Linked DNA regions of Caenorhabditis elegans. The protein of the gene in region 1 interacts with the protein of each later gene in a biochemical or structural test. Each region holds a gene or a part of one and is shown on either strand. Other genes may lie near its edges.

Region 1 (6,242 bases):
CACGGAATCATATTTTTCGCACTGTGAATTAATATCTTCTTGTGTTTTCTTTTCAGATTCCATTAAATCTTTAACCATGCTTTTATCGTGGGTTACTTCCAAGTCAGCATCGTCGATCTCCAGAAAATTTGTTAGTACAGTGCATTTTTCGAGTATTTTCGTCTTTGTTAATGCCTCTTTAATCTTCAAAATTCGATCCGAAGACTCCGGATGTGTTGGGCATACTGTATTCTCATGTTCATTTTGAGTTTGATTGAATCCGATGAGTGTTGGACCCTGTAAATAGATTATATGATTGTACGAACATATACTTTTCTTACCGTTGATCGATTTTTCTGCCTATCTTCGAAAAGCATGGAAAACTAAACGATAAATGTTTGAATAACCGCTAAAAGTCTAAAAAATCCTGTGGAAAAAATGTCCTCGTGATGGCCGTGGACTAGAATATTCAACTCAAGGCTACGGCCATCTGTGCACTTTACCGTCAAGTCGCGTGTGTTCTGACCTGTTTTGCATTTTGTTTATGTTTTTTTGTTTTTGTGTTATGCATCAATAAGAGTAATTGGACAAAAACATGAAATATCAAGTTTTCTTTGATTTTTCCAACCGCCTTGTGTAGATTTATAGTTCGTTTTTTAAACGTTTGCTCCTAAACACCCAATTTATGTATTTTACGTTGCAAACTTTTTGCAGAATGGCGACAGAGTCGGGTGGCTTGTCGAAGGAGGAATTCCTTCTTGTTCAAGAGCAACTTTTGCAGCTGAAAAATGAAAATTACGAGTTACGAGAGGAGATTAAAAAGAAGAACGCAGCAGCTTCCCAACACCAAAACTCTCCGAAAAATGAAGCATTGCAATTTGCTAGCAAGGTGAGGAAAAGTTTATTTTTATTATAATTAATTTAAATCTTTCAGTTAATCAACAGAGCATCTTCTTCGAAAAAAGATGAAGCAGAAATTGAGTCGCTTCGGCGGAAACTAGAGACCCAAGAGCAAGAGTTTCGCCTTCAACAATCTACCCTTTTTGAAGAGCTCAAGACAGTAAACTTTACATTTAAAATTCAAGCTTTTCAATGTCCAAATTACAGATATCCACACAAAATGAGACATTAAAGAATCAAATGTCGTCTTATTCTGATCATCCTCTGGAAAAAGAAGCAGAAGAAAGGCAAACAGTGGAACAATTAAAAGAAGCTATTAAAAATTTAACAGACGAAAAAGTTTTGCTATGTCAAGGTAATTTTATTCCAACTTTGTTCAATACAATTAATTGTATAAAAGGTTACAGAAACAATTCCTGCTATAAGCAACAAAGTTACAAGTCTCAGTGAAGAACTTGAAAACTGTCAGACATTGAACGTCGAGCTTGAAGATCGTTTACTCTCAATAACTTCAGAATCCGAAGCTATTCTTAAAATTAAGGAGAAGGTTGTCGAGGAAAATTTGCGAATTAGGAAAGAAATTGAAGAATTACGCAGAGAAAATGAAGGGATTGCTGAAAAAATGAAGGAGAGTAACAATGCAGTGATGGATGAAAATAAAAAGCTTTCTGATGATAATCTGGAATATAGAAAGACAATGTTGAGTCAGAAATCTGAAATTGACAGTTTAAAAGCTGAGAATTTTAAACTCGTCTCTGAAAATCAACTAAATCATGACGTTTCTAAAAACCTTGCTGCTCTACAATCAGAAAAACTAAAGCTGACTGAAATATCTCAACAAGAAATATCAGGTTTGAAAAAAAAGATCGAAGTTTTAAAATCGGAAAATCATCGTCTTTCGTCTCAAATCCAACAGAACACTAATGAAGCTGCAAAGAACCACGAAAAACTTTTAGAAGACCGAGTACTTCTTCTCGAAACTCGTTATCAATTGGAAGTTGATGATCTTAAAAAGAGTTTTGAGTCGGATAAAGAATGTTTCCTTTTGAAAATGACGAGTTTAGAGGAGAAGCTGAAATCAGCGGAAGAAGACAAGAAGCTCGCAGTGAAAAAAGCAATGTCTCTTGTGAAAGAGCTACAAAAATCATTAAAAGAAGAGAGAAAACGAGCTGATTCTTATGAGAGAAAAAGCGAAGAAAGAGCTGGATGGCATGTGGTTCCACCAGAAAATGATAGGCAAAGTAGTCATGTAAGCACATTTAATCAAGGACTAACATATATTCATCAAATTTTTCAGACTTTCGACGGAAACGAAAGTGTTTCATCAATGTCGGCAATCGAATCGGAGAACGTTGAACTTATCACTCGTCTAGCCACGTTACAAAAGATTCATTCGGAAAATGCAGATTCCGTAGGATCTTCTTTGCAGAATTCTTTGAAATATTGGAATAATCATCTTTCAGATTCTCCAACTCGAATCAGAAAATAGTCGCTTGCGACGGGAAGTGACGGAAAAAGGAGAATTAATTGAGAATTTGATCCGCGAAAAACCTCTTGGCACCGGATTTCAACAACAGAATAATCTGGGTTCTTCTTCTTCTTCTTCTGTTCAACCGAAACTTGAAGGTTTAGCTTCTAAAATTTTCATTTTTTTAAATACTGAAAATTATTCCAGCGTCATTCCGAAAACTGCTCAATACACTTGGCCAAGATTCCCGAGATTCAGATGTCCGTGAAATGAACAAAAAGCTGCAAAGAATGCTTGAAGAGACACTTTCTAAAAATATAATTCTTCAGAGAGACTTGCAAACTATTATGGAGAGAACTGGCTTGTAGATTTATATCTTTTTTTAAAATTTCTATTGAATCCGTGTGTGCATATGTAGATATTGTTACTGAAACCATTGCATTTTTTTTTCTGTATTTTTTGCTGAAATTTCAATTGATCTAATTTTCCAATTAAGCATTTTGTATATTCTTTGTGCATAATAATTTTTTAATTTTCAGTTTCCCATATTATTTTTTTATTTTCTCTCTGTCTGGTTCTCATTTTTTGAATCCACAGCAATACTTAATTCTTGAAAAAACATGAAATTTTCAGAAAAATCTCGCCAATTTTCAGAATGGAAGTAGAAGTACCTGGTGGATCAGAAGCTGCCGATACTGGAAGTGAAGCGAGTTATAAAGTGTCACAAGTAGAGATTGAAGATGTTGAAGAGAATTTGAAAAATGCTGATGTGATATTTGAACATCTTGAGCAACTTCCATTTCAGGTGTTTATTCTGAGCGAATTTGGAAAACCGATTTTTGTAAAGTGAGAATTTGCAAATATTATCCATTCAAACACACAAAGCCTTCTTTAAAAATTACAGCAACGATCGAAATGAGGGTGAAATCGTCAGTTTGGTGGCTCTAATTTGTGCATTTGTGAGCCGATGCCAATCTTGGGGTGATAGTTTGATGACGATGACGTCACAGGATAATCACATTCAATTTTTACACAAATCACCGCTTATTTTCTGCGTTGGTAAGAATTTTATGCAATGGAAACGCGCTCCGCCCCCGAAGCATGGGTCTCGTTAGGAATTTACCGGCTAAATCAAGAATTCAAATGTTTTCAGTTCGTTTCGCCGATTTGGCAAATTGCCAAGATTTTTTCGTCTTTTATGCTTTCTGTTACTGTTGGAACGTAAATTTTTCGAAGAGCATAACGTTTGGGTTTACAGTTTTGCCGCCGAACCTAACGAGACCAATTGTTCGGAGGCGGAACTATTTCAATTCGCTGTTTAGCGCGTTTTCGCGTTGATTTCTCTCTTTTTTGATAGAACTTTCAACGATTTCAGTCTCAAAATACCCGGAGCAACTGGATCAACAACTGGAAGTCCTTTTTGAGCAGATTTGTTCGATTCTTTCCAAAAGTCAATTGGAAAATGTATACAAGAAAAAGGGTGACAATTACGATCTTCGAAAACTTCTTCGTGGAACCGATCGTTTAATTGATTCATCGATTTCTTCGTGGAGAGCCTCCCCGATCAATCTTGTCGATTCTTCGATTTCGGCAATTCCAATGAATCCATCAGATCGGGAATTTCTATCAACAACGATGGCTTCATGTCTTGGAGCAGCGAAATTAGATGGTGCTCTTTTCGGAATAATGATTGCGAGAAGGCAAATCGCAGCGATGGTTAGATTTAAGGTGGGATGATAAAAAATAGAGATTAATTTAATTTTTGATTTATGTTTCAGAAATATATGATTCATCCTCGTGATTTGAACATTGTCATCAACCTTGTCTCTGATAATACTCTACAAACAGACTCCCAGAATTGGGTTCCAATCTGTCTGCCACGGTTCAATGACACAGGATTTTTCTACGCCTACATATCGTATCCATGGTGCAATAAAGAGCAAGATATTCCTGTGTGCATTGTGCTTCTTTCGGTGAAACGAGATCATTTCGATGGGCTCAAGGAAGTTCGACAACAAATTGTGACGAAGTTGGAAAATAATCAAAAGTTCTTTGTTAACTTTGCACAGGCGATGAAGACGCCGAATCTTTATCAAATATCACAAATCGGATCGAATTCCGAATCGCTTTGGTCGTTTTTGTATTTAAATCATTCTTCAAAGCAAGTCTGTATGTCAGCCTCAAAGTGAGTTAGCCTCTAAATGTTCCATTAATTATATGCGCTCTATTATTTCAGAATTCCCCTAATAACACGTGACGAACGATGGATTGCTCGTTCAGAAATGCGTCGATCTTCATCATTATCATCTCTCCATCCACATCTTCGAACTCTTTTCGTACGTGGCACCAAACATTGTCTTTTTGTTTGGGTCACTGATCTCTTTTCACTTTACTGCATATTCGGACCATTTGTCACCGCAACAATCGCATTCCAAGTCGTCGAAAAGCTTCTGAAATCGCTGAAATCTCACGAACAACGATATTTTATCATTAATTCAACATCCTTTTAATTTTCAACTGTTTGTAAAAATTGTGATACTTAAAACGTTTACGTGTTTTCTAACCACAGATTTTAATTTGCCAATATATTTTTACTGCCCTTCAAATTGCCAAAAAAGATCAAGTAGAAATTAATAAAGCGAACCTCTCATTCATTACTGTTTACAGCAAGTGTAATACGTCTTAAATGACGTCCTATGATCTAATGTACTTATTAAACAAAGTTATTGGAAAGAATAGGGAAAAGTATCGATTAAAACGTACACATTTCGAATTGATGTTGGGGGAAGCGGAGTGTGTTTGAAGGAGTCTCGCTCGTCTCTATATCTCTGCACTCTCCGCTTCTCACACACTCTTTCGCCGTCATTTCGGCCGTGTCCCCCACTTCGTCGGTTTATTCTACCCGCCTTCTCCTTCACCATCGCTTTTTCCTCGTCCACCAACACGCGCTCTTTGAATTTCTAGCTGATGGCTATGGCAACCAGAAACCTGTGACATTTTAGTTTTGCATGAAAACTTTTTGATTTTCAAACGAAATTTGTTTTCAATGAAGAGAAACGCATAGTATTTTGAAAACTTCCATTTTTCAACGCCTGCCCATTTTTTTAAAATTTGGTTCAACTTTAAAATAGTTTAAAGTTTTTTTTTAAATTTAAGCTCGAGCTTTTTCTCCTCAATTTGTCGCAATTTTTTAATTGTAAAAACAATTTTTTTTTGTAATTAGCTAAACTTATTCCTATAAAAATCCTGAAACGCCGCTTGCACTTTCACTATACGAATAACTCTTTATATTATGTTTTTGATGGGTATTAGAACAATTTAAAAGCACCCTTTCACACATAACAAAAGATTTCTGGGCACGAAAAAAAACAAATTAGCATGGATTTCTATCTGAAAACGCCTGAAAATCGATTTTTTCTGCTATTAGTCCAATGGAGCGCACTTCCTGACCCCATCATTTTTTGTATTTTTTCGAATTTCCCATCGTTTTTAGGCCAAATTTTTTGTATTAATAATCTTAATTTCTAGTTTTCTTTGCTTTTATCTTTTCTTCAAGTCATTTCAATCCTCATATCACTATTTTCAGCTCAAAAATGTCGTACCGCGTGTTTTCACGCGTCGATCCCCATGTGCCATCGACATCCACAGCTCCACAGCGTCGTTTTCAAGAAAACTTGCAAAAATTCAAGCGATTTTTTCCGCCAAACGCACCACCAACACTCTGGGAAGTTTGCTCCTCGAAACAACGCAGCAAATCATTGAAAAACACGTTTCAAACGGTAAGTTGATCAGAAAAAAAAACTGAAGGAACGAAAATCAATCATGTCGAAGCTTGCAGGAAGTACGTGCACTACGAGGACTTAATTTTACAGTATTGCTGAATCCGTACAAAGTA
Region 2 (9,654 bases), on another chromosome or scaffold:
GTGTAAAACCTCTGAAATTCAATATTTTTCGAACGTCTAAAATGGATTCGAAGAACCGCCAAAATATGTATAAGCCATATTAAAATCATTTTTATCGATACATTTTCCCACACTGAAAATTCTGAATTTCTTGAAATTAAAATGACCTCCCCTGATTCTGAAGATATATGGCGCCTCAAAACACTTTGTAACGCTCGCCTGTTTATTATTTTAATTAAGTTAAAATAATAAATAGATGAGTTAGATAGTGTTTTGCGGCGCCCTATATCTTCCGGGTTCCGAGAAATTTTCCGAGATGCTCTGGCAATAGGCCGTAGGCATACTTTAAAATGAACTTTATGAATATCCTTCGGCTTATGAACAGGATCAGAGATCCCCGACGGAAACTCGATTGAGACACTGGTCACCGCTTTTCTCGTTGGATCATTCTTAGGCTTCTTGAAATTCTTCAAGCATTCTTTGAACGCCGATTCAACTTCTTTTCCGGCTTCCGCAAAACCATTCACATTTTTCGAGTTTTTGATGCACGCGTATTTTCTTGCATCTTGTTCTCTGGGAAATATTGAATTGTAAAATAATTGGGTTACTGTCGTTTTCGAAGTCTTGCGACGAAGCCTAACGCTTTTCGCTTTTCAAAATTGATTCCCCGTGGCCGAGTTTTCTCTTCCGCGGCCATCTTTGACTAACTTTTGAATCGCACGAAACATCTCAATATCCACTGGAATCGGGATTTCCATGAGCTCCTTCTTGAATACGGTTTTAATTGTCGATTTGTGAGGAGGGGGAGGCGGTTGTTGGCCACACTGAAAATTGTCTACTGTATTCTAAGTGCATGCGCCTTTAAATTAATATCATTTTCCACTCAGGATTCACTCCCAGGTTATCAATAGAGCGCGTTGTCCTAATAAAAACCCCAAAAAACTTACGAGAATTGCGTCATTTTGAGGGTATTTTGGTGACGTCACTGAATCGTAGGAAACGGTTCCAGAAGACGCACTGATACAAGTCACAGGATCCGCATGAAAATCGATAACGTGCTGAAAGAAAATCGATTAAATACTAGTTTTTTGGTTGGAAAATTGCGGAAAAATCAATAAATTAAAAAAAAATTCTTACAATAAATCGTTGTGCAAGTTTGATAGGAACAATCGATCCTTCGCTGCTCATTTTGAAAATATTGAAATAATTCAATTTTACGGTTTTTCACTTAAAAACACCACGTCAAAAGTTTTGAATTTTTTTAATCGATAAATCCCCACGTAATTATTTTTAGGAATTTTTACGGGTATTAAAAAATTCTGAGAATGCGTATTACACAGAACATCTGACTCGCAAAATATCTCGAAGCGAAAACTACGGTAGTTCTTTAAATGACTACAGTAGCACTTGTGTCGATTTACGGGCTCGATTTTTGTAATGAATTTATTTATCGATAGAACATTTATTTAAAAAGCAAAAAAATGAGACTATTATCCGATGAAATATTTGAAAACAAATTCATATCGAAAAATTAGTTTTTTTCGATTTTTTGATATGAATTTCTTTTCGAATATTTCTTCGGATAATAGTCTCATTTTTTTGCTTTTTAAAAAAATGTTCTATCGATAAATAAATTCATTACAAAAATCTAGCCCGTAAATCGACACAAGTGCTACTGTAGTCATTTAAAGAACTACCGTAGTTTTCGCTTCGAGATATTTTGCGCGGCAGATGTTCTGTGTAATACGCATTCTCAGAATTTTGTGTTACCGTAATAAATCAATTTTGTAATCCGAGAAAAAATCTCTAAAATAAGATTTAAAAAATGCGCAGAACAATTTAAACAAAAAATAGTTTTTTGCTAAAAAATGTAACTTTTTTTTGCAAATTTGAAAGAAAAATCCTGTAAAATTTGGTGGAAACTCCGAAATAAGTTGAATTTGATGGGCAAACACAAAAACAAAAAATTTCTTCGAAAACTAGCTTTTTTTCTTCAAAATTTTGATTGATCCACATGGAAATCCCCATTTTCCAGGAAATTTTCATTGTATTCGTTCTAACAATTCCCCCAGATTGTGTATGTATTCAAAAGTTCATGGCTGGTGGCACGCTCTGAAAACCAATTTCCGAAAAAATCGGATTTCCGAGTATGTCCTCTCGATCTTTTCAGAACGAGCAGCTGTTTCCAGCTTTCAAAGCACGATGGAGGCGGAGCTTCCATGAAGACTGAGTAATCGAGGATGAGAGTGTGAAGACGCAGAGAAGCGAACTTGTGACCGCGTAGAGCCCTCCTCCATCTTCGGCTTGAGTTTCCCTGCCAGACGGGGACAACTTTAGCACCAATAGAACCCTCCTGGGTCCATTTTTCTTGGTTTTTGGTCGATTTTTAATTAAAAATTGACAGAAATTCTAGATTTTATGTTTAAATTTATTTTTTTTTACTTCCAAAAACTTGATTTGATTAAAAATTGAATTTTCACTGAAAATTGGACTGAAAAGTTGGATAATTTAAAATAAATTGGCTCAAAAACCTCTTTAATTTATTTTTTTTGCCGAAGATGTAATGTTTTATTAGTCTAGAATTTATTATTATCATTTTCCTTCAATTCAAATTTAGATTAGAAATTCAGCTTCAGAAATTTCAGATAATTTATAAATTTTAAGGAAAAAATGTTTTTTTTAATTTACTTTTAAAATAAATACAATTGAAAAAAATTGGAAAATCAAAAAAATCCAATTTTTCAACTAATTTTAATTTTTTTTTAATCTGAAACATCAGATTTTTTAAAAAATAATTAATAAGCTTTCGCAAAATCTCTAAAGTCAGTTTTTTTCGAAATTTTCAATTTTTGTGTGATTTTTCGAAAAATAATTGTGTTAAAATTATTTTTTCTTTAATTTGAACTGTAGTTTTATATTTTCTTCGACCCTTAATTCTCATTTTTAAAATTGTTTTTTTCTTCATGAAAAAATTAAAAATTTTTCAGTTTCAAACACCCCACAAAGTAATGTCAGATAAGCATGGCGAGGAGGACAAGAAAGCAAAAATGCATTTAAAAGCTAATGATTTAGTGAGTTTTTTCCTATTTTTAAAATTTCCAATATTAATTTTTCCTGAAAAAATAAAAAAAATAAATGAAAATTTAAAAAATCAAGATTTTTTGAAATTACAGTAACCCAATTTTTAAAGGCGGAATATCGGAGCATCGTTTATATTCATTTTTGAATAAAAATCAATTTCTTTTTGCAGTTATGTGTCAATGGATGCGGATTCTACGGGACCCCACAGTGGGAGAATCGTTGCTCAAAATGTTGGAGAGCTCATCAGAATGAGATGAAAAAATGTCAGGATTTTGCGAAGAATAGGTAAAAAATTGAAAAAAAATGCCTAAATTCGAATTTTGAATACTTTTTTAAAGAAAAATTCCAAAAAAAAAAACTCTAAAATTAAAAAAAAAATTTCATAATTCCACGAAAATACCTTGAAATATAAGGAAAAAATCTAAAATCTCAGAAAAAACCTGAAATTCCAAGAAAATTCGTGGAAATTTCAGAAAAATATCGTTAAAATAAAAATAAAAAACCCCTGAAATTCCAAGAAAAAATCGCTGAAAATTCGAAAAAAAAATTTTCAAATTTCAGAAAAAAAAAAACCTAATTTTCCGCTCAAATATCCCTTTTTTCCAGATCTCTTCTAAGTTTCGATCAATTCCAAGAGCGGCGTAAATCGACAACAGAAAGCAAGTCACGTGGCATCAAAAATCTGTTTAAAACGTCTCCGATTCCAGGTAAGTGTGGGGATTTTGCTACGTGGCCGTGAAAAGAAAAACTCGGCCACAGATTTTTTTTTTGAAAAAAGTTTTAAAATTTGCTATTTTTCAGAAGGCGGAACCAGTTCACCAACTTCCACGTCACCGGCGAGCACACCAACTCGGTGGGTTTTTAAGAAATTTTATAGTATAAAAAAAAATTTTAGGTGGTTTAAAAAAGTTCTGTTGATTTTTTCAAATTTTAAAGCAAATTATAGACCTTTTCACTGGTTTTCGAGTGATTTTGTAATTTTCAAAGCCAATTTTCAATAATTTCGAGTTTTTTTTAAAACAAAATATTCAGGAAAAGTGATTTTAACCGATTTTCGGGTGATTTTAGATAAAAATTCAGATTTTTTTTTGAGGATTTCAGACAAATTTTCAACAATTTTCTACTATTTTTCCAGTTTTGAGGCCGTTGTCTGCAAAACAAAAACCAATTTTTCCGCGATTTCGAGCATATTTAGGTTATTTTAGACGTAAAAGATGTTTTTGGATTCAAGATTATTAAAGTTTTTTTTTCTAAAATATCTTTTTTTCCGCAATTTTACCAGTTTTTGGACTCTAAAATTTAGGCCAATTTCTGTCAAAAAGTGGGCAAAAAATCTGAGAATTAGTGGTTGTTGTTGTTTTTTGTTTACGATAGAGTTGTTATTCTATATACAGCTGCTGTGTATATATTTATGCATCTCTGCCACTTTTTTCTCTATACGAATAGACGATGAGCTTTAGTCGGACGGGAATAGAGAGTTATTTTTTGTGATTTGATTTGGGAAAAAAAGAGGGAAAAGTCTGAAAATGACTGAAAAATGTTTGAAAAACCCTGGAAATTCATTTTGAAAGGTTTATAAAACATATTCTCGAAATTTAAAAAAATGCTTTAAAAAGTAGAATTTTTCATAAATTTGCAATTTTGAAAAACAGTTTTAAATTATCGGTCAATTTTTGAAAACTGTATAGTTCGAAACAACGTTTGCCTGGGAATTCAAACATGGCTTGATTTTTTTTTTGCAAAATTGAAAAAATATATATGCAATTTGTTCAATTCCTTTTTCAGTCACTACGCTATATTTTCTAGAAGAAAATATATTCTAAGAACATTAATTTCTGAAAAATTTGAGTTCAAAACGAGCAATTTTAGATGTATAATCTCCCCTCTTTCTCTGTCTGCGTGACCGAATACAAAATGAGAAGTGGTGCGTAAGAAGAAGGAGAGAACTACATTCTAAGGGCACTTAGATTTCGATCTTTTGAGACTTTTTTCAGTTGGAAAATGGGGTTTTTAGGGGGATTTTCAATGCAAAAATCAGAGAAAATGCTTTTAGAGCAGTCTGAAAGTGCGGAAATTACCAAAAATTAGCTCAAAACCTAGAGAATATTGCTGAAAATTCAAGTTTCAAACTGAAGTTTTGAATTTTCTAAAGCTTTTCAGAGTTTTTTTGTTCTAAAATTACCTGTAATTTTCATCTAATTTCACTGGAAAATTGACTTTAAAAGTAGAATTTTAGCCTATAATTGAGGTTTCTAGAGCACTAAGTATAGAACAATTTTTCAAAAAATTCGTATTAATATGTACCTGAAATCTCATTTCTAAGATAAAGTTCAATTTTGTAATCAATTTTTTTGAACCTCTTTCTGATCAAAATTGTATAAAAAACCCTAATAGTAAGCATAACTTTTGAATTGACTAAAAAAATTAATTATTATGATTTTTAATATTAAATTTTTAGCTATTTTAACTAGATTTGGAGTCAATTTTTTGTGGAAAAAAATCGATTTTTATAGGACTTTAGGATAAAAAAGTTTTTTATTTCGAATTTTTAAATCAAAACCGAAATACAAACAATTTTCGTATTTGGCAGAACCCAAAAAAAAATCCTAAAACCACTCCAAAATTGGCATTTCTCATTCAAAAAAATTGCACCTTTTTTGAGCAAATTTGACACCAATTTTTTTTTTCGAGTTTTCGGTTTTATTTTGAGAAAAATCGAAAAAAAAAGGAAAAATTTTCTAACAGTGTTTTTCGGTTTCCAGGAAGTAATAAAAAATTCATATCGCCACATAATATTATATCAAAGAACATGTTTGTCTGAAAGAAAAAGTTCAACTTTCTTGTGAATGAATAACTAATTAATCACTGACTCATTTGTCTAACAATTCTGAGAATTCTTTTTCCTTTTTCCATTTCTCGTTGACACGTTCTCCTTGTTTTCGAGAGCAGCTTCTCTCCTAAAGAAGAAAAAAAAGAAAATGTAATTGAGAGGAGCTCGCCGAGCTTGGAAAGACACGGAGAGAGCACACTTTTTGCTTCTGTTCCTGAAAAGTACATGAACTACTTGGTTAGTCATTGTGCTCACCACTCGTGGGACAAAAGAAAAGTGCATATTCAGATGAAATTTGCATGGCATAATAGAGTAGTTTCTATTAATTGAAATTGACAATTTGAAAAAAGAATTCGTTATTTCTGGAATTTGGGAAATTAAAGTAGCTTCAAATAGTAAAAAAATTAGTAAAACTGGGGGAAAATGGCAAATTTTCAAAAAATTTGGACTTTAGAAATTTACAGCATTTCTCAAATCATTAAATACCAATCAGAGGTGGGCGGATATTTTTTCGGATATTTTCTAATAATGAATTTATCAATAAGTATCGATGTAGTTATTCTGGAAGACATGTATCCGAACCAAAGAGTAACTATTAAGCAACATTTAATATGATAATCCCTAGAAAAATTCTACAAGTTTTCCTTACCGAGACCTTAAAACTTATTAGCCGAGCAACATCGGATATCGGATATTACGGATATTACGGATATCGGATAATGGACTTGCATATCGTTTATACAGAAAACTTGTAGAATTTTTCTAGGTTTTATCATATTAAAATGTTGCTTAATAGTTACTCTTTTGTTCGGATACATTTCTTCCAGAATAACTACATCAATACTTATTGATAAATTCATTATTAGAAAATATCCGAAAAAATATCCGCCCACCTCTGATATAAATAGAACCTACTGATATTTTCCAAATGATAAAAAAAATTCTAAGTTCAATAAACGGGTGTTTAACTATCCAAAATAGATATCCCAAATAATCGAAGCAAATAAAAAATACCGAAATTAAATATCAACGGCTTATTTTATTTTTTTGTAATGTATAAATTCATATTCTGTAAAATATAAATCATAAATGTAAATATCTGAAATTTTCAAAAATAATTGTTTGCATAGTCTGAAACAGTATAAAGGATTATGTGAAGTTTTCTAAAAATATTTTTTAGAATCATGAAAAAATGTTCAGAAAATTTGGAAATTATGGGAATTTGTTTGAAACGAAATATTTACTAGAAGCCTCTGAAAATGTCCTTTAAAGTCTGAAATCAGCCTAGATTATTGTTAAAATTCTTGGAATTCTGAAATTTCTGAAAACTTCTCTGAAATCGTTTAAAAAGTAAAAACAAATGTGGTTATACAAATAGTGTCAAAAATTGAAAAGTGTAGAAAAATTATGTCACAACTGTATTAAATAACATACAAACATGTATTTTAATACGGCTGTGACGTCAGAAATGTATTTCAATAATAAAAACCGTTTTTTTTTACATTTAAAAATCAAAAAAATCAAGAAAATTAAATATTTATGAATTCAATACCAAACGACCGAGAAGATCACATGTTTCAAAAATCAAAAACTCAGTCAAAAATAAAAATTTGTTATATTAAAAAAAATAGTTGTTTTAATTTAACCTCTGCGAAATCTTAAATTGTTTTATCAAATTTGTTATATCAAACATTTCAAATTGAATTTCAAAGTAAACCAAATAAAAGTCATTCCAGACGTCGAGAACTCTCCCCGGATTCTCTGGAAGCCCGTCAACAATTCACCGATTTTCTCGTAGCGAATCTCTCAACAGGAATGGCTCAAGAAATTGCTCGTTCAGTGAAAAACGCGGTGAATAAGATCTCAGAAATGAGAATGAGCTCAGATGATATGTCAGAACTTGTAATGAGTTATTATCAATATCTTGGAGAACGAATCGGTGGACATTCGTTATTTGATTCACCGGATTGTAAAGTTAAAGTGGAAGATGTGATGGACCAAGTGGAAAAGTATATATCAACATTTTGTTATTCAATATTCTTTTGTGCAAATCATGAAGAAGAAGTAGCTGATATGTCGTTGCAAGACCGTATTCGATCACTTCACTGGGTTACTGCTGGATTTCTGGAAACTAAGATGGTTTTTAAGAAACAAACGGTTCGAGATAAAATTGATGAAGCTATTTCGGAACTTATTGAGATTAATGCAAAACGATCTGCATTTGAGAAGCTTGATTGTTTGACGAAATCTTGTAAGGCGATTTTTGAGGCGCTTAAGGAGAGTGGTGAGTTTTTATTTTATCTGGAACAGATTTATAAAAATTTTAATGATAAATATCAACAAAAAAAAAACAGAAAAATCGGTTTATTTTTCTGAAAAAAAAAGAAATTATTTTCTATTTAAAAAGTGTATAATTTCCAGTTTTCAGACAACTTTTTTATTCAATTTTTTAAATTTTTCAAATTAAAATTATTTCAAATACATGAAATTTGAAAAAAAAATTTGGAAAAATATATATTTTTTTAACATTTGGAATTTTGACGAAATTTAAGTTTTTTTCTATTTAAATAAATTTTTTTTCAGCATCAAACATAATTTCGTACAAATTTCCTGGACTTTATTGGAATTGGAAAAATTGGAAATTAAATTGGAAAAAAAATTTCAATCAAAAAATTCGCCGAAAAACTTCAAAAATCCGGTTTTTTGTTTTTAAAATGTATTTCCTAACAATAAGTTAGTGGAATTTGAAAAAAAAAGAGTAAAATTTCATCGAAATAGTTTAATAACAGATTTTTAAAAAATTTCTGAACGAATTTTCCGAAAAAAATTCCAAGAAAGCCAAATATTTATGAATTCAATCCCAAAAGACCAAAAAAAAATCACCTGTTTCAAAAATCAAAAATTTTCAGAAGCTTCAACATCGGCTGACGAATTCCTGCCAACACTAATATACGTTTTATTCCGTGGAAATCCGCCGTTAATTCAATCAAATGTCAAATTTATATCAAGATTTGCAATTCCAGCGAGGCTTATGAGTGGAGAAGCTGGTGAATATTTGAATTAAGCATCCAAAATTCTCGAAAAAAAATTTTTATAGAAAAAACTAGATTCTGCAATTTAAAATCTTCAATTTGGCCAATTTTCACTGGTCCAGGCGACCGGAAAATTATTTTTTTTAATTAAAAAAATTATTCCATGTTGAAGATTTTAGGCGAATTTGGCCCTTTTTCAATATTTTCAACCTCCTGAACTTTTTTTTTACATATTTTTGAAAATTTTCATATAAAAAATCCACACTTTCGGGGTTATTTTACGTCTATAAAAACCAAAAAGTTCTAATTTTCAATTCATTTTCCAGCCTATTTCTTCACGAATCTCTCCTGTGCCCTCGAATTTGCCAGAAACATGAATCACGAGAGTCTTCAAATGGAAAAATCTGAATTCGAAGCCTACACATCTGGACATTTGGCTCCACCACTCTCAGTTATCAATTCAGCATGTAATCAGGCAATTTATGTACTTGAAGGAACTATTGAGACTATAACAAATGTTGCAAAAAAGGCGGGAAGTCTCGCGAAAAACTTGACGAATATGCATGGAAAATCTGATGAGTAAGGGATTTTAGAAATTTTTTTTAATGAAAAAAATTTAGTTTATTTATGGAAAAAAACACCGATTTTTTTCATATTTTCTTGAAAAAAAAATACAGAAAAAAAATTTTCAAAAAAATTGCTACATTTGATCAGTTTTTATCTAATTTTTTA

The links. The genes of interacting proteins can lie anywhere in the genome.
Region 2: the proteins of sand-1 (region 1) and rabx-5 form a complex in vitro, tested with the Caenorhabditis elegans proteins (one study listed by BioGRID).

The regions. Positions count from the first base shown.
Region 1 is NC_003282.8:5,363,866-5,370,107, forward strand, and holds sand-1 (Vacuolar fusion protein MON1 homolog), read left to right. Parts: upstream 1-3,001; 5' UTR 3,002-3,002; coding exon 3,003-3,193; intron 3,194-3,251; coding exon 3,252-3,406; intron 3,407-3,722; coding exon 3,723-4,075; intron 4,076-4,125; coding exon 4,126-4,532; intron 4,533-4,583; coding exon 4,584-4,857; 3' UTR 4,858-5,000; downstream 5,001-6,242. Other genes in the region: hda-6 (histone deacetylase), read right to left, coding at 1-276, 321-356; F41H10.4 (GRIP domain-containing protein), read left to right, coding at 695-868, 914-1,039, 1,087-1,234, 1,287-2,128, 2,177-2,290, 2,343-2,505, 2,555-2,715; F41H10.3 (RNA-directed RNA polymerase), read left to right, coding at 5,941-6,126, 6,186-6,239.
Region 2 is NC_003281.10:10,602,383-10,612,036, forward strand, and holds the start of rabx-5 (Rab5 GDP/GTP exchange factor), read left to right. Parts: upstream 1-2,987; coding exon 2,988-3,050; intron 3,051-3,229; coding exon 3,230-3,345; intron 3,346-3,666; coding exon 3,667-3,767; intron 3,768-3,861; coding exon 3,862-3,913; intron 3,914-7,617; coding exon 7,618-8,174; intron 8,175-8,799; coding exon 8,800-8,937; intron 8,938-9,248; coding exon 9,249-9,501; intron 9,502-9,654. Other genes in the region: Y39A1A.2 (Reverse transcriptase domain-containing protein), read right to left, coding at 324-552, 688-803, 927-1,037, 1,117-1,167.